Linked DNA regions of Elephas maximus indicus. Each later gene encodes a partner of the first gene's protein in a complex. Links are inferred from orthologs where the notes say so. Each region holds a gene or a part of one and is shown in the gene's direction. Other genes may lie near its edges. The genes, in order: NALCN, NALF1, UNC79 and UNC80.

What was found.
Region 2: the proteins of NALCN (region 1) and NALF1 are in contact, whole or in part, in a cryo-EM structure (PDB 7CM3), measured with the Homo sapiens proteins. The link is inferred for Elephas maximus indicus from reciprocal best matches to the Homo sapiens genes NALCN and NALF1. Residues at the interface, in NP_001337678.1 of Homo sapiens: Cys207, Val209, Asn220, Leu222, Ala223, Ile224, Pro225, Thr227, Tyr237, Pro240, Phe243, Tyr406, Glu409, Phe909, Ala1044, Lys1045, Asn1047, Pro1049, Arg1054, Ile1060, Arg1062, Ile1063, Asn1064, Val1065, Ser1066, Lys1069, Lys1080, Lys1081, Gly1083, Phe1084; in NP_001073865.1 of Homo sapiens: Lys278, Glu281, Phe282, Val285, His287, Lys288, Tyr289, Leu290, Gln291, Glu294, Tyr295, Ser296, Val297, Lys298, Ser299, Tyr308, Trp311, Leu312, Gln315, Leu335, Gln338, Thr339, Cys341, Phe343, Ile344, Leu345, Pro346, Asp347, Asn348, Asp349.
Region 3: the proteins of NALCN (region 1) and UNC79 are in contact, whole or in part, in a cryo-EM structure (PDB 7SX3), measured with the Homo sapiens proteins. The link is inferred for Elephas maximus indicus from reciprocal best matches to the Homo sapiens genes NALCN and UNC79. Residues at the interface, in NP_001337678.1 of Homo sapiens: Gln349, Met350, Phe351, His352, Glu353, Gly358, Trp359, Gln360, Leu361, Phe712, Ser713, Ile714, Arg717; in NP_001333147.1 of Homo sapiens: Cys861, Gln862, Ile865, Glu968, Pro969, Asp970, Phe1020, Gln1022, Pro2088, Asp2089, Ala2092, Pro2093, Leu2095, Leu2096, Met2099, Leu2139, Pro2141, Asn2142, Gly2143, Ile2144, Gln2147, Leu2148, Ser2151.
Region 4: the proteins of NALCN (region 1) and UNC80 are in contact, whole or in part, in a cryo-EM structure (PDB 7SX3), measured with the Homo sapiens proteins. The link is inferred for Elephas maximus indicus from reciprocal best matches to the Homo sapiens genes NALCN and UNC80. Residues at the interface, in NP_001337678.1 of Homo sapiens: Asn639, Met643, Val644, Ile646, Lys648, Leu649, Pro650, Phe653, Val655, Pro656, Lys657, Ile658, Arg659, Glu660, Phe662, Met663, Lys664, Gln665, Phe666, Ile667, Arg669, Val711, Ser713, Arg715, Ala716, Arg717, Leu719, Lys722, Glu723, Ala725; in NP_115893.1 of Homo sapiens: Lys1979, Asn2004, Glu2005, Cys2006, Asp2007, Leu2128, Arg2129, Leu2130, Pro2131, Pro2134, Arg2135, Ile2138, Asp2139, Phe2142, Phe2145, Ser2146, Glu2179, Asp2184, Glu2185, Met2187, Leu2188, Asn2191, Asn2194, Ile2198, Leu2199, Glu2202, Ser2226, Leu2227, Ser2228, Gln2231.

What each region holds. Positions count from the first base shown.
Region 1 is NC_064841.1:66,276,008-66,283,771, reverse strand, and holds the start of NALCN (sodium leak channel NALCN), read left to right. Parts: upstream 1-4,748; 5' UTR 4,749-4,821; intron 4,822-7,764. UniProt on the Homo sapiens protein: Voltage-gated ion channel responsible for the resting Na(+) permeability that controls neuronal excitability. NALCN channel functions as a multi-protein complex, which consists at least of NALCN, NALF1, UNC79 and UNC80.
Region 2 is NC_064841.1:73,626,899-73,633,895, reverse strand, and holds the start of NALF1 (NALCN channel auxiliary factor 1), read left to right. Parts: upstream 1-3,983; 5' UTR 3,984-4,598; coding exon 4,599-5,483; intron 5,484-6,997. UniProt on the Homo sapiens protein: Auxillary component of the NALCN sodium channel complex, a channel that regulates the resting membrane potential and controls neuronal excitability.
Region 3 is NC_064828.1:107,068,659-107,075,511, forward strand, and holds the start of UNC79 (protein unc-79 homolog), read left to right. Parts: upstream 1-3,845; 5' UTR 3,846-3,960; intron 3,961-6,853. UniProt on the Homo sapiens protein: Auxiliary subunit of the NALCN sodium channel complex, a voltage-gated ion channel responsible for the resting Na(+) permeability that controls neuronal excitability.
Region 4 is NC_064824.1:108,203,873-108,211,489, forward strand, and holds the start of UNC80 (protein unc-80 homolog), read left to right. Parts: upstream 1-4,602; 5' UTR 4,603-4,645; coding exon 4,646-4,737; intron 4,738-5,678; coding exon 5,679-5,727; intron 5,728-7,617. UniProt on the Homo sapiens protein: Auxiliary subunit of the NALCN sodium channel complex, a voltage-gated ion channel responsible for the resting Na(+) permeability that controls neuronal excitability.

The sequences.
Region 1 (7,764 bases):
CACTTGGGCCCAAGTCTGTAAGTGATACTCATCACCTCTCTTCTCTGTCAACCATTCTAGATTCCCTTGCCCTCAGCTAGCACTTCTACCTTTCTGAGTGGCTTGCCTTGTGGGAGGACCCAGCACATCAACCCAAGTGGCTATGAGCCCCTGGTATTGATGAACATATTAAGATATTTTATACAACAAATGAGATCTTTGAGGGTACTTTCAGAACTGGGTTCTGGAAGATTTACTTGTAGCTGATAGCAGCTTTTATCAAATCGTCAGAATCTGCTCCATTTTGTTGCTGAGTGATTTATTTGAAATGTGACCTTAGTTTTCAGAAGTCCTCTGGTTCCTTTGGGTGATTGGCTCAGCTGCCATTCAGCACAAAGAGACCTCTGTTTTGCTCCCAGAAAGACTGTTTAATTGGTATTTCTTTTTACCCTTGATTTCACAGTCTTTTTTCCTTCTTCTTCTTCTAAACCCAGGTTTCCTCTGAAATAAAATGTGAGCTAGGAAAAAATTCCAATTAATCTTTAATATATGTAAGTGTGAAGACCATACTTCCTTCTACAACATATTATTTGTTTGTTCTCTGTTCCCCCTCCCCCTATATCAAAAAAAAAAAAAAAAATCATAGGCAGTGTATTTTCCATAAAAGGAATCAATTCTTGTTCTAATATGTTTCTGCCTAGCTTAAGAGTTTCTGTCTTTTTGGGTTTAATATCATCTTTTTTTTCCATGCTTTTACCCTACCTTCATTTATTTGCTGTTGAAGGTTATGCTGAGCCTATCTCCTATCTGCGGCTAATTTCGCTGCAAGTAGGAACTACTGTGAACATAAACTGCCCTATGACAACCTTGCAAAGACCTCACATTGATTCTTCAGCTGGTCTTTTACCCCATAGATGCACTGGCACGGTTTTGGTGCTTCACATAACAAAACTAGAACTTAAACCATGTGTAAGGATTCCAGAGCTAGCCGAGTGTCCATATGATGATGTCCAGAACTGGTCCCAGGTCCATATGGCAATGAAAGTACACAGGACTTGCAGCAGAGGGAAGGGAGTGGGCAAGTCCACTCTGGTCTATTAGGAAATGGATGCCTGTGAATATGTACCAACTGCTGGTATCCTGCTGCTCAAAGGTGTTTTTTTTTTTTTTTTTTTAATCAAGACAGATTTTCCATAGTTTCATGTCTCGCTCCGGACATACTTAACCAAAATCTTCATGGAAACATTTAAGATGCCCAGATTACCCTTATTATCAAAGGAAGTTGGTAAGCATTGCCTTAAGGGAAAAGTAAGATGTGAGACATTTTCCGAAATCATCTAATGCTTATATTAGAATAGAGCAAGCCACAGTGGAAGTGTTTGTGGTCACCTGAAAATGCTGACTCATGAGAAGACAAGGAATTAGTGAAGTTTTCCATCCAGAATATTGCCTGCATGTGATGACCACCAAACCAAAAGATCTTTCCTCATTGGAAACTTAGCACATTTGTTTCCTTCTCAAGATCTGAGACAGGATGAAGTAAGGTGAAGGAGGCCTTTGGGGGCGCATGGCTAAGTGCTTTTTCCTCTTGGTATCTCTTCCCTTTCCCCAGAGACAAGCAATCATTTTATGCTTCTCACTGTGGAGGTCCAGGAAGCAAACAGTGTTAAACCTACCCCAAGCTTTCCATTATCAAAATGTGTCTCTTCTGCATAGAATGAATTTTGTATATGCCAATCTGTGTTAGTGGATTAGCGAGCCCTAGAGTGCCCTGTTTAACCTGTTTATATTTTTTAAATGGGTCTTCTGGACCTTTCTTTTTCTTCCCCCAAATATCTCTTAACAGGGAAAGTTCGAGCACATCGATATTTGGCACTAAGTGGGCCATATGTTAGCCCTAAGATCACACAATAAAAGCAAGTATGTACAGATTAAAACTAATTTTAAGAGTCTCAAAAAATTTGGAGAGTTTTGGGTAGTTACCAAAGTGTAATTCACCTGTAAATCTAATCTAACAGAATCCACAGTAGAACTCAGTACATATATATTCTCATAGAGTATGTAGCATTTCCCTCATGGTTTTTATAATTTTCTCTTTTAGCATTGTTATTGTTTACTCAGTAATGCACTATGGTGTCAAACAGGATACTAACTTAAGTGAAAATAACCAAGAAGAACAGATAAATTAGAGAGAAACAAAAGCCCTGTTTTCATAAAATTCTTACTGTCTTACATTCCATAGTTACTTCCATTCTGAAGGACTTGTCAGTTTATGAACACAACTTTCTCTAGGCCATATTTTACTGGCTTGGTTGTACATTGGCCTGGTTTTACTCTATTTTGTGAAGTCATCTTTGTAGCTGGACAGTTTTCTCTCTGTTTAACAACATCCCTTCCTCAATCTCACATTGTTTAATACAGATTTAACTGTATGGGATCATGCACTTAAAAGTCTTCTGGGGCCTGTTGCTGAAGCTGACTGAGGGGGAATGGAGCAAATGGTAGGCCGGTTTAAAGGAGGCGGCCATTATACCTCCAGCTCTTCGCCTCGCAGAAACGCAGGCCTGACCTAAATTAAGAATCTCCTGTTTTTCAAATGTTGATAATTGATCTTGAGTTTTCAAAAATACTTTCAAGCCAAAGAAAACACACCTTTGAATTACTAGATTATAGCAATGATTATAACTCCAGAGCCTGTTGGTCCTGAAAAGATGCTTGACCATACCTGGGCCCTCCTCCCTAATTTTAGTGATAAGAAAGTAGATGGGATGATGAGCAGGTAGAAGGGGTAATGTGATTTTGGGACATAATTATCTGCCATTTGGGATGACTGTCTACACCCACGTACAATGAGTTCCTACAGATTCCAGGAGGAATGTGTACTGAGCTTCTCCAAGGCTGCTTCCTTGAAGCTCATGGATTCACAAAGACTGTGTCTCCACCAGCCATGGGTTTGTTTGGCTCTTATGCATGAGTTTTAGATGCTTTAAAGTTAATTCAGACTTTGACAGAAAAGAGTCTGAAATAAATACCTGTTTGGTAAGGGCTGGTGCTGAGATGAGTGAAAACAGCGTATTTTAATTGCTGCCTTTATCACTTTAGTCAAAGCTTTGTAAATATCTTGATCCTCAAATATTTCTCTCTAACTGGTGATTCTAACTTGATGGATTCCAAAGGATGATATGCAACCATATTTCATTTAAGATACAAATCAAAATAAACTAGTATTTAAATCGAACAATGAAAAGCAGTGCCTTAAGATGATTAAATAGTTTTCCTAAAGAAATTGGCATATAACTATTATTTAAATGACTTTCCATTTTGTGTCATGAAGAATATTTCCATGTAGTTTCATCGTTTGTTTAAAACTTAGCTTTTTATGAAATTGGTCTTCTAGAAATCTTCCAAATCTGAAGAAAAAAAAAAATCATCAAGTTGTATATTTCATGAAATGCCAGTTATTTTTCAATTTCCTACAAATGACCTAAAGTATTAATAGGGGAATGGATTGTGAATAGTTGGATTTAAAATGATAACAATTAAAAATCCAGAGCCAGAAAATACATTTTCAAAGATGTTTTAGTGTGTGTGTGTTTTTGCTTTTATTCCTTGGAAGGTAACATTTTGTGACAGAAAATAGTTTTTTGGTTGGAGGTTCTGATTTCACTTTTAAAGGAAGCTCATTTAGTTTTCCCTCACCATTTATGTATATGTCTGTGTAAAAGATCTCTAAATCACCGTCAAGGGTTCTTCGGTGGTTTTAACACCTGACTATAGGGCAAGACACCAATCCCACAGTAAATCTTTCTGAGCATGCGACTGTGAGGTTGTCCACTGGGCCTAAGGATAGTGCAGGGAGCCCAGATTTCTTGAAACCTGCTCCATCAGAAGCCCCAGGAAACACTAGTTGCAGCTTTCTGTGGGATTATGAATTGGTGGCACAGTTGCTAGCCAAAACGTCGGCAGTTCGAATCCACTAAGCCGCTACTTGGAAACCCTATGGAGGAGTTCTACTCTGAGTCGGAATCCGCGGGTTTGCTTTGGTTGGTTTGGGTAGCGTCAGTTTGTGAATGGACATTCAGCCTCATCCACAGAAAAAACATTTTAATGGAAAATTTAAACATATTTAGACGACTATTTATCATTAGTGTGATGTTTTCACTATTTAGCAATTTCATCCTCAGGACGAAACTAGTGCACATCTTCAGATACTGCGTACAGTAACACAAGATCGCGCACAGGCGCGCGCGCACACGGAGGGTTTGATTGCATCCAGGCAGCGGCATTGCTTGGATCCCACGTCTGCCCGACTCCAGTGCACACGGCTGCATCTTGTGAACACGGCAGAGACCACGAGCTCGCGCCCATAATAGATCCCAGCTGTGGCTGTGAGACTGATTGCCCGTGGCAGCCAGCGAGAAGGAACCTGCTGGTACCGGCCCTCCAGGTCCCCACCAACTGCAGAGCAGCCTCGTCTCTGGTTTCCTCCCTTCAACTCACAGCATCATCGCAGCTCCTGCAGCACAGCCAACTCAAAAATATATAAAATAATAAAATAAAGTAAACCCTTAAAATTCTCGATCCCAAGCACCCCGCAGCCGCCCCAGTGCTAGCACTGTAGCCCTATTAATTACTAAAATTCAAGCAGAGCCGCGGTCCCTGGCCGGGGTCGAGCGCGCGATGACGGCAGCTGACATAGGTAAGGTGCCCGCGCCTCCGCCGGGGTGTGGGGGCCGCGCCTTTGACCGAGCCTGCCCGCCACGCTTGTCCCGCCCCGCCGCCCGAGGCCGCCGCCGCCGCACCCCGCGGTCACCGTGACCGTTCTCAGCGTTAGGGTTACAGGTTGGTTATTGCCGCTGCGCCCGGGGAGGCCGCGGTTCGCCGGGCCGCGGTGCTCAGCGCAGGAGGCCCGGGGCGCGCTTTGGCTCGCCTCTCGCCGGGGTTGGGCCGAGGGAGGCGAGAGGGGGGCGCGAAAGGCGCTGGGGGAGAGGGCCCGGCGCGTGCGAGGGGAAGGGGCGCCACCACCTCGTCGCAGGGCAGAAGGGGGCTCGCCCCCAGGCGGGGAAGGGGCGCCGGGGCCCGCCTTGCGCCCTCCCCTCCCCTGCCGGGCGCGTGGTTTGGCGCCTGCAGCCAGATGCACTTTTCCTGGCCTTTGAAGCGGGCAGGATGCTGGAAGTCGGGGTCGGCCAGATCTCCGGCCTGCTGCCCCCTCCTCCTGGCATCCAGCAGGTGTTGGGGGGCTTGCAGGTGGTTAGTTGGGAATGAGGTGGCTGCACATCACGGTAGCTGCTGCACTGACCCCTCCGCACCCAGCCTGCAGCTTGGGTGAACCTCAGGGCAGACAGGCAGGTGTTGGGGGGGTGGGGGGGAGTCCGCTCCAGCAGGTTTCCAGAAGGATTATGGCCTTGCCTCCTCCTCCCATCCATTCCCGTGCTGCTACGGATTGCTGTTTGCTTAATATCCCTCATTTTATTAATTGGCCTTCTGCGCGGCTATCATTAGGGTGGCTGCCACACAGCAGGTCAGAGCGCTGCTCTCCCAGAGCAACACCATTTTGCCACTGAACCTTCAAGAGACCGACTGGAATGTATCGACCTGAACTCCGAGCAAGGGGTTATGTCTCTGACTCCCATCTCCTCTTTTAGGATAGTGTAGTAACTCTGAACTCAGATCTGGATAGGTTCTTGAAATACTACAGGATGAATCAGTTTCACGCATTATTTTTTAGGGACTATTTTATTAAGGTTGTGTAGAAGACACACACGGATTCAGTCCTCGAGGGTCTTACTAGCCCTTAATCTGTATTTGTCTGGTCATCAAACTAGGCCCGTATTTCGTTGGTGGTGACGCGCCAGTGACTGTTATGTATAAAAAGGCTATGATTGATACAGAAGACCACTAATATGAGTCAGAAATTAACAAAAATTGGCTTTTTAAAAAAAATTATGATTGATGTTTTCATAGCTGTAATATGGCTTGAAATTGAGAAAGGAGTCGGTGGACTATGGCAGTTACTCTGAGCAGGAACACTGGATTTATGAGTTGAGGGATTAAATTTCAACAGTTTTAAATAAAAATCGTGGCTTCCCTAACCTCCACAACAACGACCAAAATGTATTTCCCAACTGGCTTTCATTTTGTGGACCTTTGTGTGCTGTCTCAGGTCGCTCTAGGGTCACTACGAGTCGGAATGGACTCGACGGCAACGGGTTTGGTTTGTTTTTTTCTGTACTGTGGCTGGGTGGGTAAGAGCTTGGCGGCTAACCAAAATGTCGACAGTTCGAATCCATTAGGCACTCCTTGGAAGCCGTATGCGGCAGTTCTACTCTGTCCTATAGGGTTACTGTGAGTTGCAATCGCCCCTACAGCATCAGGTTTGGTTTTTTGGTTTGTAGTGTACTTTGACCCAGCCACTGCTAAAACCGGATAAAATGAAGGGGAAAAAATTAGGCTTTTAGTTTGAACAGCTCATTGGGCCTTCTTAATATTTTAGAAGACTTGACAACCGGACAGAACTGAGGTGCCGTCACACTATGTGACCATGCTTTAGTCTCTGTAACAAGTTATTTCTTGTGAAAGGGTGGTAATATAGGTTTAACTCTGGGTCTGACTTCCAAGATATTCAAGAAAGGACAAACACACACACACACACAAAAAAAGTCTTCAAAATATTGTGATTTGCTTGCAGTCTAGAGAATAGAGAATTGAAGGTCTCAGTAGCATTTCCTTCTTCTTGGGGCATGACTTTTTTTGAAATGTGTTCCATTTGCTTCTGTTCTCTTTCCTGAGTACGTTGTGAGTGTACGCGTGTGGGTATGTGTGCATGCAAGTGCTTATTTATCATTTGCCCTAATACTGCTGAAATAATTTGGGATTTTTCCTGGCTATATATATATTTATCCCAAGGAAAGATTCACATGTAGACGTCAAGTTTGTGAAGAAAAATTCGCATCCACACACACCATTGTATCCTAATATAAATCAGGCACTACGCCAGGAGTTGGAAGTTCAGGGCAGAAAAGGGTTGGACCTAGAATCTCAGAATTTGTCAGGAAAGACAAATATAAAACCAATTGCATACACAGCAAGATGAATATTTATTTTGTGTATTTTCCCTAAAACTTTCAGGAATGAAAATCTTCTACTTCCCAACTAGTGTTGCTTCAAGTCTTCCTGTTTGGGGGTAATGCAAGAACAAGAACAGCAAAAAAACAGTGGCCTTTGAGTCAATTCTGGCTCGTGGCGACCCCATGCGTGTCAGAGTAGAACTGTATGCCACAGAGTTTTCATTGTCGGATTTTTCCAGAAGTAGTTCATATCAGGTCTTTCTTTCGAGGTGCCTCTGGGTGGATTTGAACCACCAGTCTTTCAGGTAACAGCCCAGCACATTAACCATTGTACCATAATATACAGAATTTTTCAATAAAAACTGTGTAGGAGCAATCTGAATATAGAAGCAATCATATAAAACAAAACTATATCCCAGATTTAAAGATTCTCTATTTTAATCGTTCTGTCCTCTCATTATATTATATTCTAGTTTGGGGTTTGCAAATTATAACCGTGACCTTAAAGAGATCAATTATAAATTGTCCCCAAATAGCGGTATGAACATTTTAGAACTTGATTACCATGTTATATGATACTTGCTTGCCTCAAGGGCCCTTGCAAGGAGTTTTCAAACTTCGAAAACTGCTTGTGTGCAAACTTTAAAGAAATTTTGAATTTATTTTTTAATTTAAAATAATAAGTAATATAAGTGATAGTTAAAAAAAGAGTAAACAT
Region 2 (6,997 bases), about 7.4 Mb from region 1:
AAAGCAGCAAATACATCTGGAGTGGTGGGGTTAAGGGAATGGAATTAGTAGAAAAGCCCCGGTGGTGCAGTGGTTGAGAATCTGGCTGCTGAGCAAGGGCATGGCAGTTCAAATCCACCAGCTGCTCCTTGGAAACTCTGTGGTGGGTGCAATTCTACTCTGTCCTAAAGGGTTGCTATGAATCAGAATTGACTCCACAGCAAGGGGATTTGGTTTTGGTGTACCTGACATGAGGAGCTTTGGTGGCACAGTAGTTAAGCACTTGGTTGCTAGCCATGAGTTCAGTGGTTCCAACCCACCTGCTACGCTGTGGGAGAAAGATGGGGCAGTCAACTTCCATAAAGATTTACAGCTTTGGAAGCCCTGTGGGACAGTTCTTCTCCATCCTGTAGGGTCTCTATGAGTTGGAATTGACCAGATTTTTATATCTGACATGAGAAAAGAAAGACTAAATATGTATTTCAACAGCAAGTACAATATTCCATTTCAACACAGCTGTCTGCCAGTTTTTTCTTTGAAGAAGTTAATGTCGTCTTTACACATAACCAGAAACCCTGGTGGCGTAGTGGCTAAGTACTACCAGCTGTTATCCAAAGAGTCAGCAGTTCAAATCCACCAGGCACTGTTTGAAAACTGTGGGGCAGTTCTACTCTGTCCTACAGGGTCGCTATGAGTTGGAATCGATTCAGTGGCGAAGGGTTTGGTTTGGTTTGAAACACAACCAAGGTTATGTGAATCACTGTGAACGGGAGCAGGTCTTACCTGATTTGAAAGTCCAAACTGCGAGATTTGTAGGTACACTGAGTGGGAAAAGAAGAAGGGTTTGGTGGGGGCAGGGGCAGCTGTAAGAAGTCGGGAAATGGTGGCTGTTTAGTTATTTCAGACCTGGAACCATTGTAACACTGACTTTGTTCACTTTCCTGCCTTTGGAATCGCTGAAGGTCTCTGGTGTGTTTTCCCTTTTCATGTTAAATAGCCAGAGGCTCTCAGGTCACCCCTGTCTGGAAACTAGGTCTAAATCTACCTGTGCATTTTCTGTGGAAGCTTTCCCTGCTAAGGGATATCCTGCGGGCTTTATCAATCAAGGGTTTTCTGAGCTTTCTATCTTACACAGGAGAAAGAGTAATACACATCTTTCCAGACAGCGTTTTCAAATTAAGAAGAAACAAGGTGAAGAGAGGTGAAATGGGGGTAGATAAAAGAAAGAAGCTAGATAGAGAAAATGGTTTATAAAATTAAACCCTGTAACCCAGACATTAAGCAACTAAATTGAGACAGAGAGAAAGAGGAGAAAAGAAACAAGAAATATCCCTTAAAATAAAAAATATCCAGCGCTGAGTTATAAGAAGAAAAGCATTGGATTATTAAATTAATCCACACTGTATCACAAAGACCCTACAGGTTCAGATCAACAGGGAGAGGGAGTCATTTCAGGATTCAGAATGTGATAGGTTTCCTTTCATGTTCTACAAAGCCATGTTGACTGAGACACAGAAAAGCAGATTTCTGATACTTTCTTCCACAAGCATTTGTTTAGACAACAGAAAATGCCAGACTCTACACTCAGTGATGTCTGCATGCAGCCTTTTATGTTGAAGGTTATATTTAAATTTGACTTGGCTTAAGAGGACAAGTTTTAAATTTAAGAAGAAAGCAATTATGACAATAGGGAGGGAGACAAAACAAAATGCTTTCTAAAATTTTAGGAGATCTTCCCAATCTATATCTTTATTCAAATCATTGGCTGAAAAAATAAAATTTTATTCAGTGTCGAAATAATTTAAATTAGCAAAAGATAGAAGAACTGAAAGACTATCTCCTCAGCTTAAGCCAGGTTCAGATACAAAGCTCAAAAAAAAGTTTTTTTTGTTTTTTTTTTGGTGTTTAATTTTCAAAAGAACATAATTTTTTTGCTTATTTAAAGATGCTTCAAGTAAGGATAAACTTGCCATAGTAGGGTATATTTGGTAATTTTTAGATCCTTCAATTAATCAATAAATTTCAACGCATTTAAATCCAAAAAATTTGAATGCTATACTTACCAAAATAGTATTTTAAAACATTATATGACATACTTGTAGATCAGCCAGCCATCAAACTGAACTTTGTTGATCACTGCATATGGTTTAAAAAAAAAAAAACCCAAACCAAACCCATTTCCATGGAGTCAATTCTGGCATACAGGATAAAGTAGAACTGCCTCTTAGGGGTGGTGGATTCAAACTGCCAGCCTTTTGGTTAGCAGCCTAAGCTCTTAACCACTGCGCCACCAAGGCTCCACATGGCTTTGTATATATCTTATGCCGCCGAAGGAACCGGTTGGTTGAATTATGCCAGTACATTTTGCAACTTTTTAAAAATACCTACTTCTCCCCAATTCCAACAACCACCGCCCCTCTAATAAACATTAATCAAGATATCAGTTTAGGTCGAAGGCGCGCCAGTACCACAATTCTGGGTGTGCACCCCGGCATTGTAGGAGGATCACTAGTAACACCGAAGACAGGTCAACCCCGCGATTGTCAAGCGGAGCAAAGTGCATGCCACGCGCGACCACCAGAGAGAGCTGGGCTAAGCCCTGCGCTCTGCCTGGTGCGCTTACAGGAGGCGCCCGGCACCAACGCCACGTCCCTGCTCCTCTGGCCCCAGCGTGGGGTGGGGGGCAAAGAGGGTAAAAGTAATTCCGAGGTTTGCCCACAGCTGCGGCCGGTAGGAGCCAGGACCGAGCCAGGGCACTCCAGATTTTCCCAGCGTGTTTGGTGCTTTCCTTCTCAGAACTCTGCGAGTCAACGCTAAGGGGCACCAGAGACTCGGGCTGCAGCGCCTGACGCCCAGACAGCCCAGCGCACAGGCTGCTGCGGAAGCCCTGGACGGCAGAACACCCAGTTCAGGGGGGGCTGGGGAGCGACAGCCGGCTTGGGAGGGGCTGGGGGTTCAGGAGCTCAGGCTGCTCCAGGTCCCAGGAGGAATCCCCTAAATTTAAGACATGGAATGAGGAAGAGAGGGCTAGGTCTCAACTGTTTTTTCCTAAGACTTTATGAGGCCACTTCTAATGTCTTTTTGCTTTAGAATACGAAAACATGAATATAAATATGTAGCTGTTAACGTATACACACACTCATTCCTTCCATATTATAGGATCAGTTGACAAAATAATTTAACACTATAATGCTGTTAATCTCCACTTGTCTAGAGATCCCGGGGTGCATCCAAAGAGACCAAATATCACCCTGTCTCCTCTAGACAGCTCGGGTTTACTCCCCCGGCCCCCACCATTATTTTGACATAAACCATTCATTAGCTAAGAAAACAGTACCCAGACCCTTGCCCCCAAAGGAACCTCTAACCGCCCGTCTGAAACTCGGACTTTTTCCGGGAACCGAGAGGAGAGGGAGTGGGAGATGCAGAAGAAATTAAACATCGTTCCCAATCATGCGGTCCACATTCTGACTTTTTTTTTTTTTTCTCCAGTGATTAAACAAGAAGATAGAGTGGGGACCGGGAGGGGCAAGGACAGAGCCAGGACCCGAGCTGAGAAAGCCCCGGGCCGGTGGGGGGCTGGGGGACGCTCCCCGAAGCCGGCCCCCGCCTCCTCCTTCCCCGCAGCCTTCGCCCTCCTCCTCGGGCCGAAGCCGGTGCCAATGCGCCAGGGTGGAGAGCTCTCGGCGCGGGAGGAGATGACGCAAAAGCCAGCGCTCCCCCCCAAAAAGTGTTTCTTCTGGACGAAGATGGCGGCAACTTAGCCGGGGGACTGAAGATGACCGTGGCTCTCGGGAGGCCCGGCGCAGGCGACTCGGCCCCCAGGCCCGGCGCGGACGGCGCGCGCGGCCGCCGCAGGAGCCCGGCAGCGGCGTGGGCAGCGGGAGCCCCGGCGGCGGCGGCGGCAGCGCCCGCGGGCAGACCTGCGGCAGCGGCGGCGGCGGCGGCGGCGAGAGCGCGGGGTGGGGGGTGGGGGGGAGGGAGAGCTCTGCCGGCGGCGGCTGCCCAGGCTCTGGACCAGGGGAGAGCGAGACAGAAGTAGGAGGAGGAGGAGGAGAAGAAAGAGGCGAAGGGAAAGAAGGAGGAGGAAGAGGAGGAGGGGAGGCGCTCTGGTCGCCGTCAGTGGGCAGCCGAGACGCGGCATGCCCCGGGCAGTGGAGAGCCGGCTGGCCTCGGCAGGGCCATGGGGACCCGCGCTCTGACAATGCCGGGCTGAGAGGAGCCGCGCCAGGACCCCGCCACCTCCACCATCACCTCCTGCACCCAGCCTCCCCGCCGGCCACCAGCACCAGCCTCCTCCGCCTCTCTCTCTCTCTCTCTCTCTCTCTCTGTCCCTCTCTGCATTACTGTCTTCCACTCCACAGAGGATGGGGTCTGCCGAGGAGTAGGTCGGAAGCCAGTCAGCCCTTCCTCCAAAGCCTGGTAATCTTTCTGTAGGCAAAAGAAGAGAGAGAGAAAAGAGAGGGAGAGAGAGCAAAAGAGGGAGAGAGAGAGAGGGAGAGAGAAGAAACGGGAGGAGGGGATAAGGAAATTAAACCCTTTAAGTCAATGCATATTGTGGTGAGACCGGCACAGGAGCCCTCACGGTGGAGTCGGCCAGGGCTGTGCGTTCCCAAAATATGACCAGGGGTGCTTGGATGTGTCGGCAGTATGACGACGGCTTAAAAATCTGGTTGGCAGCACCCCGGGAGAACGAGAAACCGTTCACCGATTCAGAGAGGGCTCAGAAATGGCGACTGTCTCTGGCATCTCTCTTGTTTTTCACAGTCCTGCTCTCTGATCACTTGTGGTTCTGCGCCGAGGCCAAACTGACCCGGACCCGGGACAAGGAGCAGCGGCAGCAGCACCAGCAGCAGCAGCGGCAGCGGCAGCAGCAGCGGCAGCGGCAGCACGAGCCCGCCTGGCCGGCGCTCCTGGCCAGCATGGGGGAGTCCTCGCCCGCCTCCCAGGCACACAGACTCCTCTCCGCCTCCTCGTCCCCCACCCTGCCCCCCTCTCCGGGAGACGGCGGCGGCAAGGGCAACCGAGGCAAAAACAACCGGAGCAAGGCTCTTTTTCTAGGAAACTCTGCCAAACCCGTGTGGCGCCTGGAGACTTGTTACCCCCAGGGCGCCTCTTCGGGCCAGTGCTTCACCGTGGAGGACGCGGACGCCGTGTGCGCCAGGAACTGGAGTCGGGGGGTGGCGGCCGGGGGGGAGGAGCAGCAGGTGAGAGGGAAGCAGCAAACCACGCTCTGGAACTTGTCGGATTTTTACCTTTCGTTTTGTAATTCCTACACACTTTGGGAGTTGTTCTCGGGGTTGTCGAGTCCCAGCACTTTGAACTGTAGTCTGGATGTGGTGCTCAAGGAGGACGGCGAGATGACCACCTGCAGGCAGTGCGTCGAGGCTTACCAAGACTACGACCACCACGCTCAGGAGAAATACGAAGAGTTTGAAAGTGTGCTGCATAAATATTTACAGTCGCAGGAGTACTCGGTGAAGTCGTGTCCCGAGGACTGTAAGGTAGGAACAGTGGATTCCCCCCCCCCTTTCTGCGTTTTTCTGGCCGTTTGCTTGGTTGTGGTATCTTCCAGTGTTTTTAAATATATATATATATTCCCTCCCCCGCCCCCGTGGTGGTTACCGTGGTTATAAGAGCTTGACTTCGTGCTTGAGTTAGGGCTATCTGTTGGATTGCAGGGGGACTGATTTTTTGTGGGGAGGGGAAGGTGGGGGGCATCTTGGAAGATCACGGAAGACCCTGGTCTTCTGAGATGAGAAAGCTAATGCTATTATTTATTTCTTAGGACTATACAATTAGCTCAAACTCTGTTAGGTTTCATAAAAACTGGATTTTGAATGTCGCTTTTTAGGAAAACAGTGATGGGGCCGCATGCTGACGATCATTAACTAAAGTCAGACTAGTCAGAAGCAGCATGCACAGTTTGGCAGATGGACTCGCACACCTGAATCCTCTTGTAATGCCGTTATTAAATTGGTTGACTAGCAGGACGATAGAAAGTTTTTTGTGGTAGTTGAAGTAGACTTAAGGAAAAGCATTTTATCAGTTTTTACAGGCGTTGTAGTGGTTACAAAGTCTGGGGGCCTGTATTTTTCCTTGGACTTGGTTGTGAGTAATCATTCATCTGAGACCCACTGTGGGTGGCAAGTTGCAATTGGGTATCTAGTGATCCATTATCATTGTTGGTTTATTTATCAGACACCTCATGTAATTAGCTTGAATTTTCAGAATGCTCTCCGTAATTACTAACTGGCAAGTGCTTGGTGCTATGAGCTAAATTTTACTGAACTCTTTAACTTGTATTATGTTCAGCTTCTTCCTGTTGACGATATAAAGAATAGAACCCTTGCTGATTGGCGAAGAAGTGTATGCAAGTTTCTTAGGAAATGACCAGTGCCACCATCGGTGCGTAGACCAATTGTCGCTATCCATGGTGCTGACACGAGATTTGCCCAAGAATTCTACTGAAGCTGCAGATGATGCAGTGACCTTTAAGTAGCAAAGCAGTGATGACAGACTCTCAATTAGTCTTAATGTATTGTTCTAAAGATCACTTCTTCACCAACAACAAAAGAAACATTGCTTTTCAACAGAAATAATACCCCACATCCTCTTTTTATCTCTTCTCTATTCCCCCAACCTGATACAAAACATCTGTCTCTCTGCCTCACTTGCCTTTTGTCAGGGAGACAGTGATGGGAAAGTGCAATCAAGGGAAGTATGGGTCGAAGGATTTTGTGAAGTTTTGACCAAAAAACCAGCATAAGAGATACCTATTAAAAATGAACATAGAGCAAGGGCTGTATTTTAGCTTGGGCTGACTAGTTGTGCTTTTGGTAATTAAGCTGATGCAGACTGATTCTGCTGTGTTAACATTCTTTAAGAGCGGAAACGAAGATCCACTTCGAAAATAGCAATGTTAAGTTCATCACATTAATGTAGAATGCAACTTCACTTAATAATTGCATCTTAAACTTTACTACTTTTTTTTTTTAAACCGTATAACTATATCTCA
Region 3 (6,853 bases), on another chromosome or scaffold:
GAGAGTTTCCAGAAGGAGGAATGCACTGATAGGTCTAGTAAAACAACTGGATTGGCAACATGGAAGTTCTTGATGATCTTAGAAAAAGCAGATTCAGTGCAGTGGTGGAGGTGGAAACCGGAATGCAATGAGTAGAAAAATGAATAGGAAGTGAGGAAGAGGTGAGAGTATGTGTACAACACTTTCAGTGCTCTTGACTGTGAAGAAAGAGACCAGTAGTAGATGGAGTGGAATATAAAATCAAGGAAGAGTTTTTTTAATCAAGGGAGATTCTAGAATATGTTTTAATGCTGATGGAAATGATTTAGTAAGGAGGGAGGTCGATGTAGGAGAGACAACTGATGGATGGAGAGCACCGTGGTGGGATTGGCATTTGGTAGGAAAAGCAAAGGAGATGCAGATAGGTTTTCGATACTATATATGAGCCCTGGTGGCACAGTTGTTAAGAACTTGGCTGCTAACCAAAAGGTCGGCAGTTCGAATCCACCAGCAGCTCCTTGGAAACCCTACGGGGCAGTTCTACTCAGTTCTGTAGGGTTGCTATGAGTCAGAATCGACTCGATGGCAAGGGGTTTGGTACGGGTTTTTATGTGTTGAGTATGTACTAGGTACTCTGCTGAATGATTTAGATAATAAGCGATTTATTCCTAGTAGCTGTATGTGGCTGGTATTATGATTATTCCCATTTTACAGATGAGGAAACTGGAGTTCTGTAGAGATAGAGCCAAGATCTTAATTCAGAACTATTTGATTCAGATCTTATGCTGTTAACTCTTATTTGTACTCTTAGAAGATTTCTCATAGATGGCTTCTATCTTCTTAAAGTGTTAGGAAAGGGGTGGGTGTGGATGAGTTTTGAGGAGAAGGGATGAAACAGTGATTAAAGTGCTTGGAAGTGGGAGCTTAAAAGAGAAATGTGGCCTTACGGTCAGTTGAGGTTGGAGATCATTTGTTTATATCCATCCCGCCCAATTATCTGAGTCTCTGAAGCCATATTCACTATCTGGGGGAGTAAAGAACAAGAACTCTGTCCTGCGATAAGGCTGCTGGTTGATCCCATCAAGTTTATTAACCGAACAGCCATTTCCCGTGTACAAGGTTGAATTGTACATGAGTTATATTCACACCCTCAGCACAATTACAGTTCACTATATGTCAGGGACTTTTCTGGCTGCTCTCAAGTAGTTAAAATCACGCAAGGTAAATCCACGACTGCTGAGATTTTGCTGCATTCCACAAAATGCGTGGATCAGCGTGAACATTCCTTCCAACCTTTTCTGCAAACTGTGTTTTCTGACTACTTATCACTGTCTTTCTTCCTTTCTTTCCTTTCTTTATTTCTTCCTTTTTCCCCTATCTTCACTCATCAATTATTGTGTTTATGTGTGTGTACACACACATACACGCATATATATGTATATGTGTACATATGTGTATATATGTATATATATATCCCAAATGTTAAGTGCTGTGATTAAAGTATTAATTCATTTGTTCATTTATCCTATCATTGAGTACCAGGCAGTGTGTTAGGTTTGGGAAAAGAGGTAAGATACAGTTTCTGCCTTCAAGAAATTTATAACCTGGTATAGAAAAAAAAAAAAGAAAAAGAGGTAAGTAAATAAACAAAGCCAATGAAATGTGCAGTTTGTAAAATATTAAAATATCTCAAAGAAGGGAGTGACTCTAGACTCTGCTTTCCTTTGCATGCTTGGATACCCATTGAAAAGAGCTATTGCTGCGTTTTACTGGAAGTATAAAAATATCACTCATTCATTCCACAAACATTTTTTAATTCCTGCTGTCTTTGTGTAGTGACAATTTTGTAGCTCCTTTTAATTATGAGCAAGCCATCTTAGTTGGGAGATCCAGGACTTTTCTCTTCATTTGAGCTTATTGTACAGACCCTGCACGATCATCAACTTCTTTTTTAGGTGGTAGAATGATGAATGGTATTCCCAAAATACTCTACAGAAACCTCCTGAATATTAAAGCTTGAGAAAAGTCACAGTAATGAAGCATTTTTGTGATGGTGGATGGGCAGGAAGCATATGCTGGCCTACCAAATATCTCAAATATTTCAGACTTGGAACTATGTATTAATATGGGGTTCTCTGTAATGTAATTTTTTATTTTTTTAAAAAAGAAGAACAGCAGGTCAAAAACACTGAGAAGAAAATGGATTTTAGTAGATGATAGAATTAAAACAGTTTAAACATCACCTATTTATATCTTATCTCAGGAAAAAAGTTATTTACAACCAAACACGTATTATGGGGTTAATTGAGACAATGGATATAAACTTGTTGCTTTCTTCCGAGCTGATGTACTGTACAAACTAAAGGTATTATTATCTGCAATCTGCAATTTTTTTTTTTTGATAAATGCCAAACATATTATGAGTATAGTACAGGTAGTAAAAGGGAGAAAAGGCAAATCTGAGAAATGGTATATGTAGGATTTAGGATCAATGATTAATTTAATAACAGCAGAAAATTACCACTGGCGTTGATGTCATGGAATAAAAACCTGCTATATACGTATTGACTTCGTTTCAGAATCCTATTCTGAGAGTACGTCATAATGGAAAGAACACTGGATTGGGAGTTAGGAGATCTAAGTTCTAGTCTTAGTTCTGCCGTTAATTACCTGTGTGCCTCATTTTCTCCATCTTTAAAATGAAGTGTTTATTGGAAAAGGTCTCTAAGATCTTCCAGTTCTGATATTTCAACATACTGTGATTCTATGTCCCACCCCTGTCAGAAGCATTTTGACTTTATTAAAGTTGCATAAGCCAGAATTTCAGTTAGAGTTCATCCAGGGCCTTATTTCCATTGGATATTGGGAACAGCAAGGCCTTGCTTCTCCAGGACTTGATATGTCTTCTGTTAACTGCTGACAGTGAGCCATACCACCCAAGAGGCTCTCTTGGTAGCCTTAAAGATTGAAAGGACAAATGAACAGTATTGAGAACTCTATGGAAGAGGAGACCAGAGAGAAGTTGATCATCATGGCTCCTTGGAATTTGCAAAGAGGAATGACTAGAACTGACCCATTCACTACAGCCAGGTCCAGAGTCAGGTCAGGAATGTGGACATTGCTGGTGACCGGAGGTAGGTGTAGGAGGGTAAATGAATCTATCTAGTCCCTCCTGAATCTTGAGAAGATCTGGGCAGCCAAGCTCAGAGAGCTATTAAGAAGTTGCCTAATTTCTGAAATCCTTTGGAAGAAAAATGTGACACTCATTTTTAAAAAATATTTTTATGACCACATAGTCATTGTATTCTTATTTAATACTCATGAGGTTAATGTGCTCTTAACATATTCTTAGAGTTCAAGCATTAACTAAAATGTACTTCCACGATCACTTACTGAGTTAAAAATCTGGTCGCAACTGATGATGTTGTGCAATGGACTCCCTATTTTTTAGTATTTTTAATGTTACTGAAAGACCTTTGAGTTTTCTTCTTCAGTTTTAGTTAACCAATATTAAAGATAATTCTCTGGTGGCAGAGATATATATCTATTGTTATTTTGCTAATAGCAAGCTAACTTGGGAATGATTATAAAACCATTTGGAGTGCTGCTTTCCTCAGTGATAAGAAAAGGTAATGAGTAATTTGTGAATAGGATATTAAGCCAGATAACTGAGAATAGTTTTGTGGGCTGAGTATAGTGATACGAAATTCAAAGTATTTTATAATTCTATTATGGAATTCTAGTAAAAATTTACATTAGAAATAATTAGTAAAGTCCAATATCTGATCATTAAAAAAATAACTGTATGCCTAATACATATTACAAGATGATCCTTCTTTTCTTGTTTTGCTTTTATCTAGTTGCTTCCAAGATCCGGTACTTGCAGGAATATCATAACCGGGTCCTTCACAACATTTATCCTGTACCTTCAGGAACAGATATTGCAAACACCCTGAAATACTTTTCTCAGACCTTATTAAGGTAAGCTTTAAAATATCCTCTACTTTGAAAGAATTATTAGGTAGTACTGCTGAATTTATCGGGACCTAAATTTTTATTGAACAGAACATTTTGAAGGGCCTGAAGCTTTCTAGTGCTCTGCCAGAAGAGTATGGACTCAAGTCCTCTGGGTGTATATAGCAGATCAGCTGGAAGGCCTCATGGAAATAAGTGGGTTGCTTGGCTTTTGCCTGCTTTCCTTAACTGAATGCCTTTTCAATAGATTTATAAAATGATGAAAGTTATATGGCACTAATATAGAGTGAGGTTAAAAGGAGAATGTACCTTGCCTTTAAAATTAAGACTAGGAAACAGTTTTGGTCTTCCAGAAAATCACAATTATGTAGATTTTAGTTTCGATACTAGTATTTCTTGAAGTATAATCTATGGTAATAACAATTCATTTTAATTGGCGTAACACTTCATGTGTTACGTGCTTTACAATTAATATTGAAGCTCTGTGGAGAATGAGGAACCTAAAGACGTGGGAACTCTTTATATTTCCCAAAGAGAGGAGGGACCTATCTGCTTCACACTTCCTGTTAGGAAAAGCAGCAGACAAAGACGAGCCTTTCAAGTGAAGCCTGAGTTGTTGTGGGAAATAATATCAAAGTAGGAACATCTCACTTTCCATTAAATTCTGAGGCTTGGTCTCTTTCGTTACCATGATCTTCTCATCTCAAATCTGGTTTTGGAAACATAGAATTGAATTTACTGTTTCTTTTAGCTATACAACAGCAAAAGTTTCATAAAATAGATATTATTAGGAAAAGAACACAAATTCAGGAGTGACCATAGTGGCATTGGATTTTTCCAGTGGTTTAGGCTTTCCCACAGGCTGACTGAATGCTTTCTGGAAAGAAGGTACTAATCTTCCGCAGATGGGCCATCTCTATTTCCTTGCTATTCTTTGGAATATCTTTTCTTTCATTAGACTCGTTACTGTCTGTATTCTGTATTAAAGGGATCTTGTTTATCAGATTCATAGATTTTTTACTCACACAGTAAATTTAGGATCCTCTAAAAGGACATTTTCCGTCCTCTTCAATTGCAGTGGAATCATTAGCCCAGTTTTCATGGTATAATCAGATAAATTTTTAAATCAAGGCATCTGATTCTGTTCTCAAGAGAATTCTCTTGAATTTGAGATCAGGATTCTCAGAGGGAAGCTCTTTCCTTTGTCACAAATTCTGAAAGTTCTCAAAGTGAGAGACACTTTTCAGCTGGAAGCAAATTGTGAATTCCATTTGCAAAGAAACTGTGACATCCTAGTTGGCACTTTGGAGCTTGTTGTTCAGGTCTTAGTCGTTGTGCCAAAAAGTTAAGAAATTCAGGATAGTAAAGCCATGTTTGGAAGACACGAAGATTTCATTTTCTTCAGCAATGGATCCTTGGAATATGGTCATGGATGATAGCATTTTAACGGTGGTTAAATGTAGTTTGTTAAAGTGGCCTGTTGGAGAAGATTGTATGCAGTTTAGCTGAGTCCATTTTCAAAGGGAGACAACATCGACAACAACTACTAATGGTAATACTAACAATAGCTATAATTATTATAACAGTATTATATTATCATAATAGTAAATACATGTGTCAAGCAGTGTTGTAAGCATTTTATATATATCATATCATTTAATCCCTCATAACAATTCTATGAGATAAGTGTACTATTATACCCATTTTACGGACAATGAAAACTAAGGCATAAAAAAAAAAAAGGCATAGAGTGGTTAAATAAGTTGTCCAAAATTACATATCTAATAGGTGGTAGAACCAGGATTTAATCCTGTTAGTCTTAATCCAGAGCAAATGTTCCCAATAATTATGCTATACTGCTTTTCCTTGTTGTCGTTGTTGTTAGGTGCCATTGAGTCAGTTCTGACTCATACCCACCTTGTATACCACAGAACAAAACACTGCCCGGTCCTGCTCCATCCTCACAATCGTTATGATTGAGCCCATTGTTGCAGCCACTGTGTCAATCCATCTTGTGGAGGGTCTTCCTCTTTTCTGCGGACCAGGCATCATATCCTTCTCCAGGGACTGATTCCTCCTGACAACATGTCCAAAGTATGTAAGACGCACTCTCGCCATCCTTGGTTCTAAGGAGCACCCTAGTTGCACTTCTTCCAAGACAGATTCGTTCATTCTTTTGGCAGTCCATGGTATATTCAATGTTCTTCGCCAACACCACAATTCAAAGGCATCAACTCTTCTTTGGTCTTCCTTATTCATTGTCCAGCTTTCACATGCATATGACACGATTGAAAATACCATGGCTTGGGTCAGGTGCACCTTAGTCTTCAAGGTGACATTTTACTTTTCAACACTAGACTTCCTTTGTAGCAGATTTACCCAAAGCAATTCAGCTTTTGATTTCTTGACTGCTGCTTCCTTGGGTGTTGATTTTGGATCCAAGCACAGTGAAATCCTTGACAACTTCAATCTCCATTTATCATGATGTGGCTTATTGGCCCAGTTGTGAGGATTTTTGTTTTCTTTATGTTGAGGTGTAATCCTTACTGAAGTCTGTGGTCTTTGATCTTATCAGTAAGTGCTTCAAGTCCTCTTCACTTTCAGCAAGCAAAGTTGTGTCATCTCCATAACGCAGGTTGTTAGTGCATCTTCCTGCATTCTTGATGCCCCGTTCTTCTTCATACAGTCGTATTATTTGCTCAGCGTACAAATTGAATCGGTATGGTGAAAAGATACAACCCTGACACACACCTTTCCTGAGTTTAAACCACGCAGTATCCCCTTGTTCTGACCAAACAACTGCCTCTTGATCTACGTACAGTTTCTTCATGAGCACAGTTGAGTGTTCTGGAATTCTCATTCTTTGCAACGTTAACCATAATTTGTTATGATCCACACA
Region 4 (7,617 bases), on another chromosome or scaffold:
TAGCTCAGACATAGTAACAGTTGTGAGACATATGGTGTTTTGGGCTAAAAATGCCCAGGACATATGGGATATAGTTAATGGTACATCAGTAACTCTACATAGTGGGAGAGACCCCCATAGTAGGTAGAACCTCTCTGTTCAGATTCCAAACCTACAGCATCAATGTAATCATCACACATTTCTGACTAATAGACACATGACAACAGCAGTCATCCTTCATCTTCGACATCTTATGGGTAATGGTGGGCTCTTACAAAAAAACTGTTTTTATTAATTACTATAAGTGTTTATTTTAACACTAGCTCTCACCTACTTACACAACACTCTGGATTCTGTTTACTGCAGCAATCTTTTCCAAAGCCCAGCCAGAGTTCTCTTCTGCTCAGTTTGTCTGCCAAGAATGTTTATTCACATGCTTATCTTACAACTTGGCATTTGACACCTATCAAAATGTCCCCTTCCATTAAAAAAAGAAGATGACCTTCAGGGATGATATATATTTAGCTGCATCTGTCTGGATCCTATTAAAATTTCTTTTTATATGCCTTCTGAGGCCCAGTAGTCAGTTTCCTTTCCTGGTCCAAGGCTACTCCATTCCTTGGCACCATCTTTGGAGAATCCCAAGTACCATCTTTGGTTAAGCTCCACATCCAATCCAATGCCTTGCACGATGGAATGGTAATATCATGCAATGATTTGGAAGGAGCAATTCATTAACTGCAGTAGTGTAATTGACCAGATGAACTCAGTTCTTAGCTTTCCTCCAACAGTGTTCATCTGAATTGGGGGGAAAAAAAAAAAAGCTATGAAAGAAGGCAGTGTAGAAAAAGCATTTAAGAAGGGTAAATTTTCTCCCAAAAGTATAGAAATATTTGGGGGTTTTCAGTGGGTGTATGAAAGGTAAAAGATCATGGTATCTTGATTTTCCACTAAAATGTTATTTTGACAATTAATTTTGACAGTGCTTATTTTAGATTTCTTCTGCCTCCAGATAATTAACTGCCTCAAGAGCTTTCTGGAATGGGAAACCCCATGATGTAGCTCCTTCATCTTCTGTGCAGCAAAGTGATTATTTTGTGCATCCTTGGATAGCTTCCACTCACATCACTCATGGCACTTCTTCCAAACCCTGCTACACAATACTCAATATTTAAGCAGAAAGTCGGGCAGGAAATTTGAAGTCAGGTTTCACAGCTTCCTTCATCATTTACTTAGGCAGGCTGCGTAACTTTTCTGTGTCTCAGTTTTCTCTTCTTTAAATGTTGGTAAAAGGGTTTTTGTGAAGATCAGTTAATCAATGCACTTAAAACAGACCTTGGCACATAACAAGTGTTCAATAAACACTATTTGTTATTAATATTTTTCTGGCAAATGCCTTACTCCTCTGCCATTAAACACTTGTAGAAAATGACTTTCCTGATTAACTCACAGCTTAAAAAGTCCGTCAAGCCTGAACGCTTTTATATTTTCATCTTTCCCCTCTTCCTAATGGTGGCATCTACCATTCTTCCTTTTTATCTCCCATCTCAAAGAGAACTCATTCCTCCACCCAGAAATGATCGGCCAGCTGTGCATCAGATATAATCTCCTTCAAAATTCTCTTCCTAAATTATCCTCTCAAATATCCTTAACATTTCCCTCTTCAATGACTCTTTAATTCTGGTCCATAAATAGGCCCCTGGTTTAAAAATAATTTGCTTATTTTTTAAAAATCCTATATGGATCCTGGAAACCTGGTGGCATAGTGGTTAAGTGCTACAGCTGCTAACCAAGAGGTCAGCAGTTTGAATCCATCAGGTGCTCCTTGGAAACTCTATGGCGCAGCTCTACTCTGTCCTATAGGGTCACTATGAGTCGGAATCAACTCGACAGCAGTGGGTGGTTAAATGGAGCCCATTCTAGTGCCTGAGTATTTTCCTTTATTTTATTTTCAGACTTGTAAAAAGATTATTGAACACTCTCTGGTTTTCCACCTCCACTCTCCACTCACTCTTCAGTATTCTGGGTCTCGTTTCTCTCTTAATAACTCAAATAAAAACTACTTCAGTTCAGTTTGCCTTTACCAGAAAAAAAAAAAAAAAAAAAAAAAAACCTCTAAAACTTGAACCAGCGGGATTTTTTTTCAGTCTTTTCTCTTCTTGAACTTTCAGCTGTTCACTCTTTCTATCCTGAAGTTCTCATTTTTTGGTATCTTGGTTATCTCTTTGTCTTCTCTAACCTCTCCTTTTCAGCATCTGTATCAGTTGTTTATTTTTGGCATAACAAATTACCACAGCCCAAAACAACACAAAGCTATTATCTCACAATTTCTGTGGGTCACGAGTTTGATCATGGCCCAGCTAGATCCTCCTCTCAGGCTTCACACAACTGAAATCAAGGTATCAGATAGGGTTGTGGGCCTATCTGAGGCTTGGGGTTCTCTTCCGAGCACATACAGTTTGTTGGCAGATTTCAGTCCCCAGAGGCTATAGAATTCATGGCGACTTGTATCTTCTTTGCCAGTAAGCATCTGCTACAATTTTAAATCTCTCTGATTTCTTCTGCCTCTGACCCAGATCTAAAAGGTTCGTGGGATTAGGTCAGGCCCACCCAAGACAATCTCCCTAATTTAGTCAAATGATTTGGGAATTTAATTACCTCTGCAAAATCTGTTCACAGTACCATTTAGATTAGTATCTGATTGAATAACAAGGAGAAAGTATGTACACTGAGGGAGGGGGGAGTCTCCAGGACATCTTCCAATACTGCTTACCCCAGTATCCTATGCTGTCAACACTCAAAGGCATTCTTTGTGACAACTGATTAAATGTTGGTACTACCTGTACTTCCAAACTTGAGCCCTTTCTTTTCTCTTTCCGCTTATTCACATGGATTATTTTATCTACTTCCATGTATTCAGCTACCTTTTATACCATGTTGACCACAAAACCAATCTATCTTACAGAGTTAACTCTTCTGAACTCTCTATCCATATTTCTAACTGCTTCCTAATGATATAGGGTTGCTATGGGTTGGAATTGACTCGATGGCAACTTTTTTTTTTTTTCCTAATGATATCCATTGGAATCCATTAGGGACTTAAGGAAAACTCATTACTGCTTCCATAAACCAAAACCAAACCCACTGCTGTTAAGTAAACTCTGACACATGGTAGCCCCATGTGTTACCGAGTAGAACTGCTCCATAGAGTTTTCTTGGCTGTAATCTTTATGGATGCAGATCACCGGGCCTCTCTTCTGTAACACTACTGGGTGGGTTAAAACTGCCAACCTTGTGGTTAGTAGTTGAGGGCAAACCGTTCGCACCACCCAGGGACCTTAATGTTCCCATAAAATAAAAATAATTTTTACATAAAGCAAGAATATGATTCTTCCTGTCAATATTTTTCCTGTCAAATTAGATTACCAAAACAGAAAATTTGGAGTTTTGGTTAATATTTACTGAAAGTTTAATATAGATCAGGGACTTTCTTAAGTTCATTACAAGTATTAACTACCAGTGTTAACATTCAATCCTCCCAAAATCTCTATAGGGAAGGAAACCTTGGCAAAGTTTTTTTTTTACTTAGCCAGAATATTATATCTAGTAAGGGGTAGGCTGGAGTCTCAGATGTCTGTCTCAAGACCCAAGATCTTAAGTACTATGTATCTATGTTTCTTTCCCCATGCCCCCTTGGGGATTAAGTCCTATTAATTCTACCTCTGCAGTGTCTTTCAAACGGATTTACTTATCTCAAGCCCTGCTTTCACAACCTTGATTCAGGACAACCAAAGGAAAATGGCAGATACCACTGGGGTGAAGAGGATCATCCAGGTGCATTTAGTGGACCATCATATACTAGATTTCCTCGTTGCATGATTCAAATGACCTTCCTAAAGTTGCAATAACTGATAACCAATTTCTTGAGGTTACCAATTGAAAACAAATTCTCACATCAGAATTTTGAAGCTTCCTCTGACTTGCCAAGCTTACCTCCCTTCCTGTTTTACATTTCTAATCATTTTCATGCGCTCCTTCCTGTTAAACCCCGAGGGTAGACTCCTGACCTCTTTGCTAGAGGTGCGAATGATGCCAGGGTTAGTGACTGCTCTGCGGTTTCCCAAAGCTCCTCCTCCCCAGACCGTGACAATTCTTCGGATGCCGAGGTTGGGAAGCAGGACAGAGGACACTCCTGGGGTGCAGTTCGAAAAGGGGAAGGCAAACCCTGGGGGCTGAAGAGGCCAAGCAGGGGACCGGCGTGCAATGCAAAGCGTGGACCCTCTAGGTCATTCCCAGGCTGCTCCACCTGCCCCCGGCTCGCGTCTGTGGCAGGGCCGCCCAGCGCGGACCGCTGTCCACAGTGGGAGGTGCTGAAAGCAAGGAGCGGGCGCGGGGGCGGCGAGGCGGACAGCTCCTCGGAGCGCCCCCCTCCTCGCTCCGCGGCTCCTCCAGCCCTCCCCTCCTCCCGCAGCCATGTTCCGCGTGCGGGGAGGGGCGGGGGAAGGGGAGAGGGACTCGGGATCAGGGCGGAGAGAGCCAGCTCTGCCTTGGGGAAGGAGGGGATGAGAGTTGGGGGGAGCAGCGGGAGGAGGAGGAGGAGGCGGTGGCGGCGGCTAGCGAGGAGCCGGCGCTGGGTCCTGCAGTAGGACTCTCGGGAGCCACCATCATGGTGAAGAGGAAGAGCTCTGAGGGCCAGGAGCAGGACAGCGGCCGCGGCATTCCCCTGCCCATCCAGACCTTCCTGTGGCGGCAAACCAGGTGAGGGGCGCAGAGGGCGCGCCGCGGGTCGCCCTGGGCTGGGGGCGCTCCTGGGGCCGCCCGAGTCGCCGCCTCTGCCGCCGCTGCCGCCGCTGAGGCCGCGCCACAGCCTGCAGCTCCCTCTCTGGGACTAGAAAGCAAGCCCTCTGCACCCTCTTAAAAACGCGCATTTTTTTTTTTTTAAACGTATCAATGAAGTTTGACGACAAGTAGATTGGCAGTTGTCAAATAAATATATACATTATTAGGTGGCGGGAGGGCAGATAGCCTGGGAAGCGGGGGCAGGGAACTGGTGAAGATAATTATGACTGGCTGTGCTCCTGCGTCCAATTCCCTCTCCACCTCCTGCTGTAATTCTACGCGGTGACCTGTTGTTTTTCCAGCTCCTGTTTGGCGAATATCTGCTATGCCCACTTGTTAACTATTTTTGCTCGGATTCAGCCAGTATAATCTTCCTGTCTAAAGCCCTGACGGAGAATGATTTTTGATAAGGGATTGCTTTTTCCTGGAAAGGCCTAAAACCTCTTCCAATTAACAGAAAACAAAATTTTCTTTATTATTATTATTAGAGATTTATCGGAGAGGAAATTAGATTCTGGAAATCATGACCCACACGCCATATTTATTTTTCAGCTTTCGATATGACTGTGCACATCGGTGATGCACCACTTGTAACCCTTGATGATTTAGACTCTGATTAAAAGTCTTCAGGATAAGAGCGGGTACAGAAGACCGCAGAGCTCCACATTTATTTCATAGATATAATTACACATGTAAACGCCTAGTCATCAGCTGTTCAACACCTGCTCATTAACAAGCTGTAGGGAGACATGAAATTTGAGTTTCATAGGATCATGTCGTGTTCATTGAAAATATGTCATGAGGGTATTTTAATATATTTGTACTTATGTTTATAACAAATATCTCTATTGGTTTTTCAGTGCATTTTTGAGGCCCAAACTGGGGAAGCAATATGAAGCCTCCTGCGTGGTATGTGCTTTTCACCATTTAATGATTAATCCCATATGCCGTGTGGTAACTTGAACTCAAAGAAAGATGTTAAATGATACTGACTGTATAAATTATTTCATTCAGCACGTATCATTGAGCACCTATATGCCAAACGCTGTTCTAGGTGCTGGGAATAGGGAAATGATTAAAATAAGCATAGTGGGATAGGGCAGGTCATCATCAAATAAGTGGAATACATAGTAAGTCAGATGGTGATAAGCACTACGGAGAAAAATTAAGCAAGAAAGGAGGTGAGGGAGCATTAGAAGTAGGGATTTCATTTTCATAAGGGGAGAGTGGGTGAGGCCTACCTGCTAGTGTGATCCTTGGACAAAGATATGAAAGAAGGGAAGGAGAGAAATAGTTGAGGGAAGAGCAGAGGGAACAGTATGTCTGAAGGATCTCAGGTCAGAGTAGAAATGAAATGGCAGGATTGGCAGAGGGAGATTAGTAGGAGAGGGTAGGGAGATAATGCAGAACCACGTGATGGAAGTCCTTGCAAGACAAGTGTGAAAAGTCAAATCCTTAACCAACAGTTGAGACTGTTACATAATGGAAGTTCATATAAGAGTGCCTGTGAACAATTCAAACAAAGCAGTATGCAACTCTGAATTTGTATGTCTTGCATATGTTGTGCAAGCCTGAAAATGGAAGATATAATTACGGAAATAATGCTATTGATATTTAAGCAAAATAAAGTTCACTTATCCTGAGTGCTAAGGATATTCCATAACCTTACAAATTCCCATTTTGTAAATTGAGAAAATAAGTCATAAAATCATCCAGCAAAATTGAAATAAACTTTTCACAAATTTCCTTAAAACCGGGAGCTCTTGTAAAAGCCTTTACATTGCATATAGTATAGCCTAAAAGTAGACGCATAAACATTTGGATATTGGCATGCATATTTGCAAATGACTACATGAATGTCTCTGTATTAAGGAGTTGTGAAATGCATTAGGGCCACAAACTATGGTGGAAGCTAACTGAAGAGTTAAACACACTCACACTGACACATAGACACTCAAGTAGGAATTAGTTTTGTTCCATCGCCTGCCTTTCAAAGTTGTCACAGAAATATCTTTATAATTAATTTTCTGATAAAGATCTTTTTTAATGAAATTTGTTGTTGTAGTTAGTGTATATCAGAGGGACTTGACAATTAAAATATGTGAGCCTTCCTTAAACCATGCCGACACTTATCCTAGCTTAGAATGTTGTTGTTAGGTGCTGTCGAGTCGATTCTGACTCATAGAGACCCTATGTACCACAAAATGAAACACTGCCTGGTCCTGCGCCATGCTCACAATTTTTGTTATGCTTGAGCCCATTGTTGCAGCCACTATGTCAGTCCATCTAATTGAGGGCCTTCCTCTTTTTCACTGATCCTGTACTTTACCAAGCATGATGTCCTTCTCCAGGGACTGAACTCTCCTGACAGCATGTCCAAAGTATGTAAGACGTAGTCTCACCATCCTTGTTCTAAGGAGCATTCTGGCTTTACTTCTTTTAAGGCAAGCTTTGAATAGTCTAGACTTTTTCTGTTCTTGGCTAAGAAGTGTTTAGCATTTTTAATGTAGTCATAAAGTTTCACAGAGCTAGATCAAGTATCATGTATATGAAATGACGTATACCAACAATATATGTTGTTGTTAGGTGCTGTAGAATCACTTCTGACTCATAGTGATCCTATGTACAACAGAATGAAACACTGCCCAGTCCTGCACCATCCTTACCATCGTTGCTAAATTTGAGCCCATTGTTGCAGCCACTGTGTCAATCCATCTCCTTGAAAGTGTTCTTTTTTGCTAACCCTGTACCTTGCTGAGCATGATGTCCTTCTTCAGGGACTGATCCCTTCTGATCACT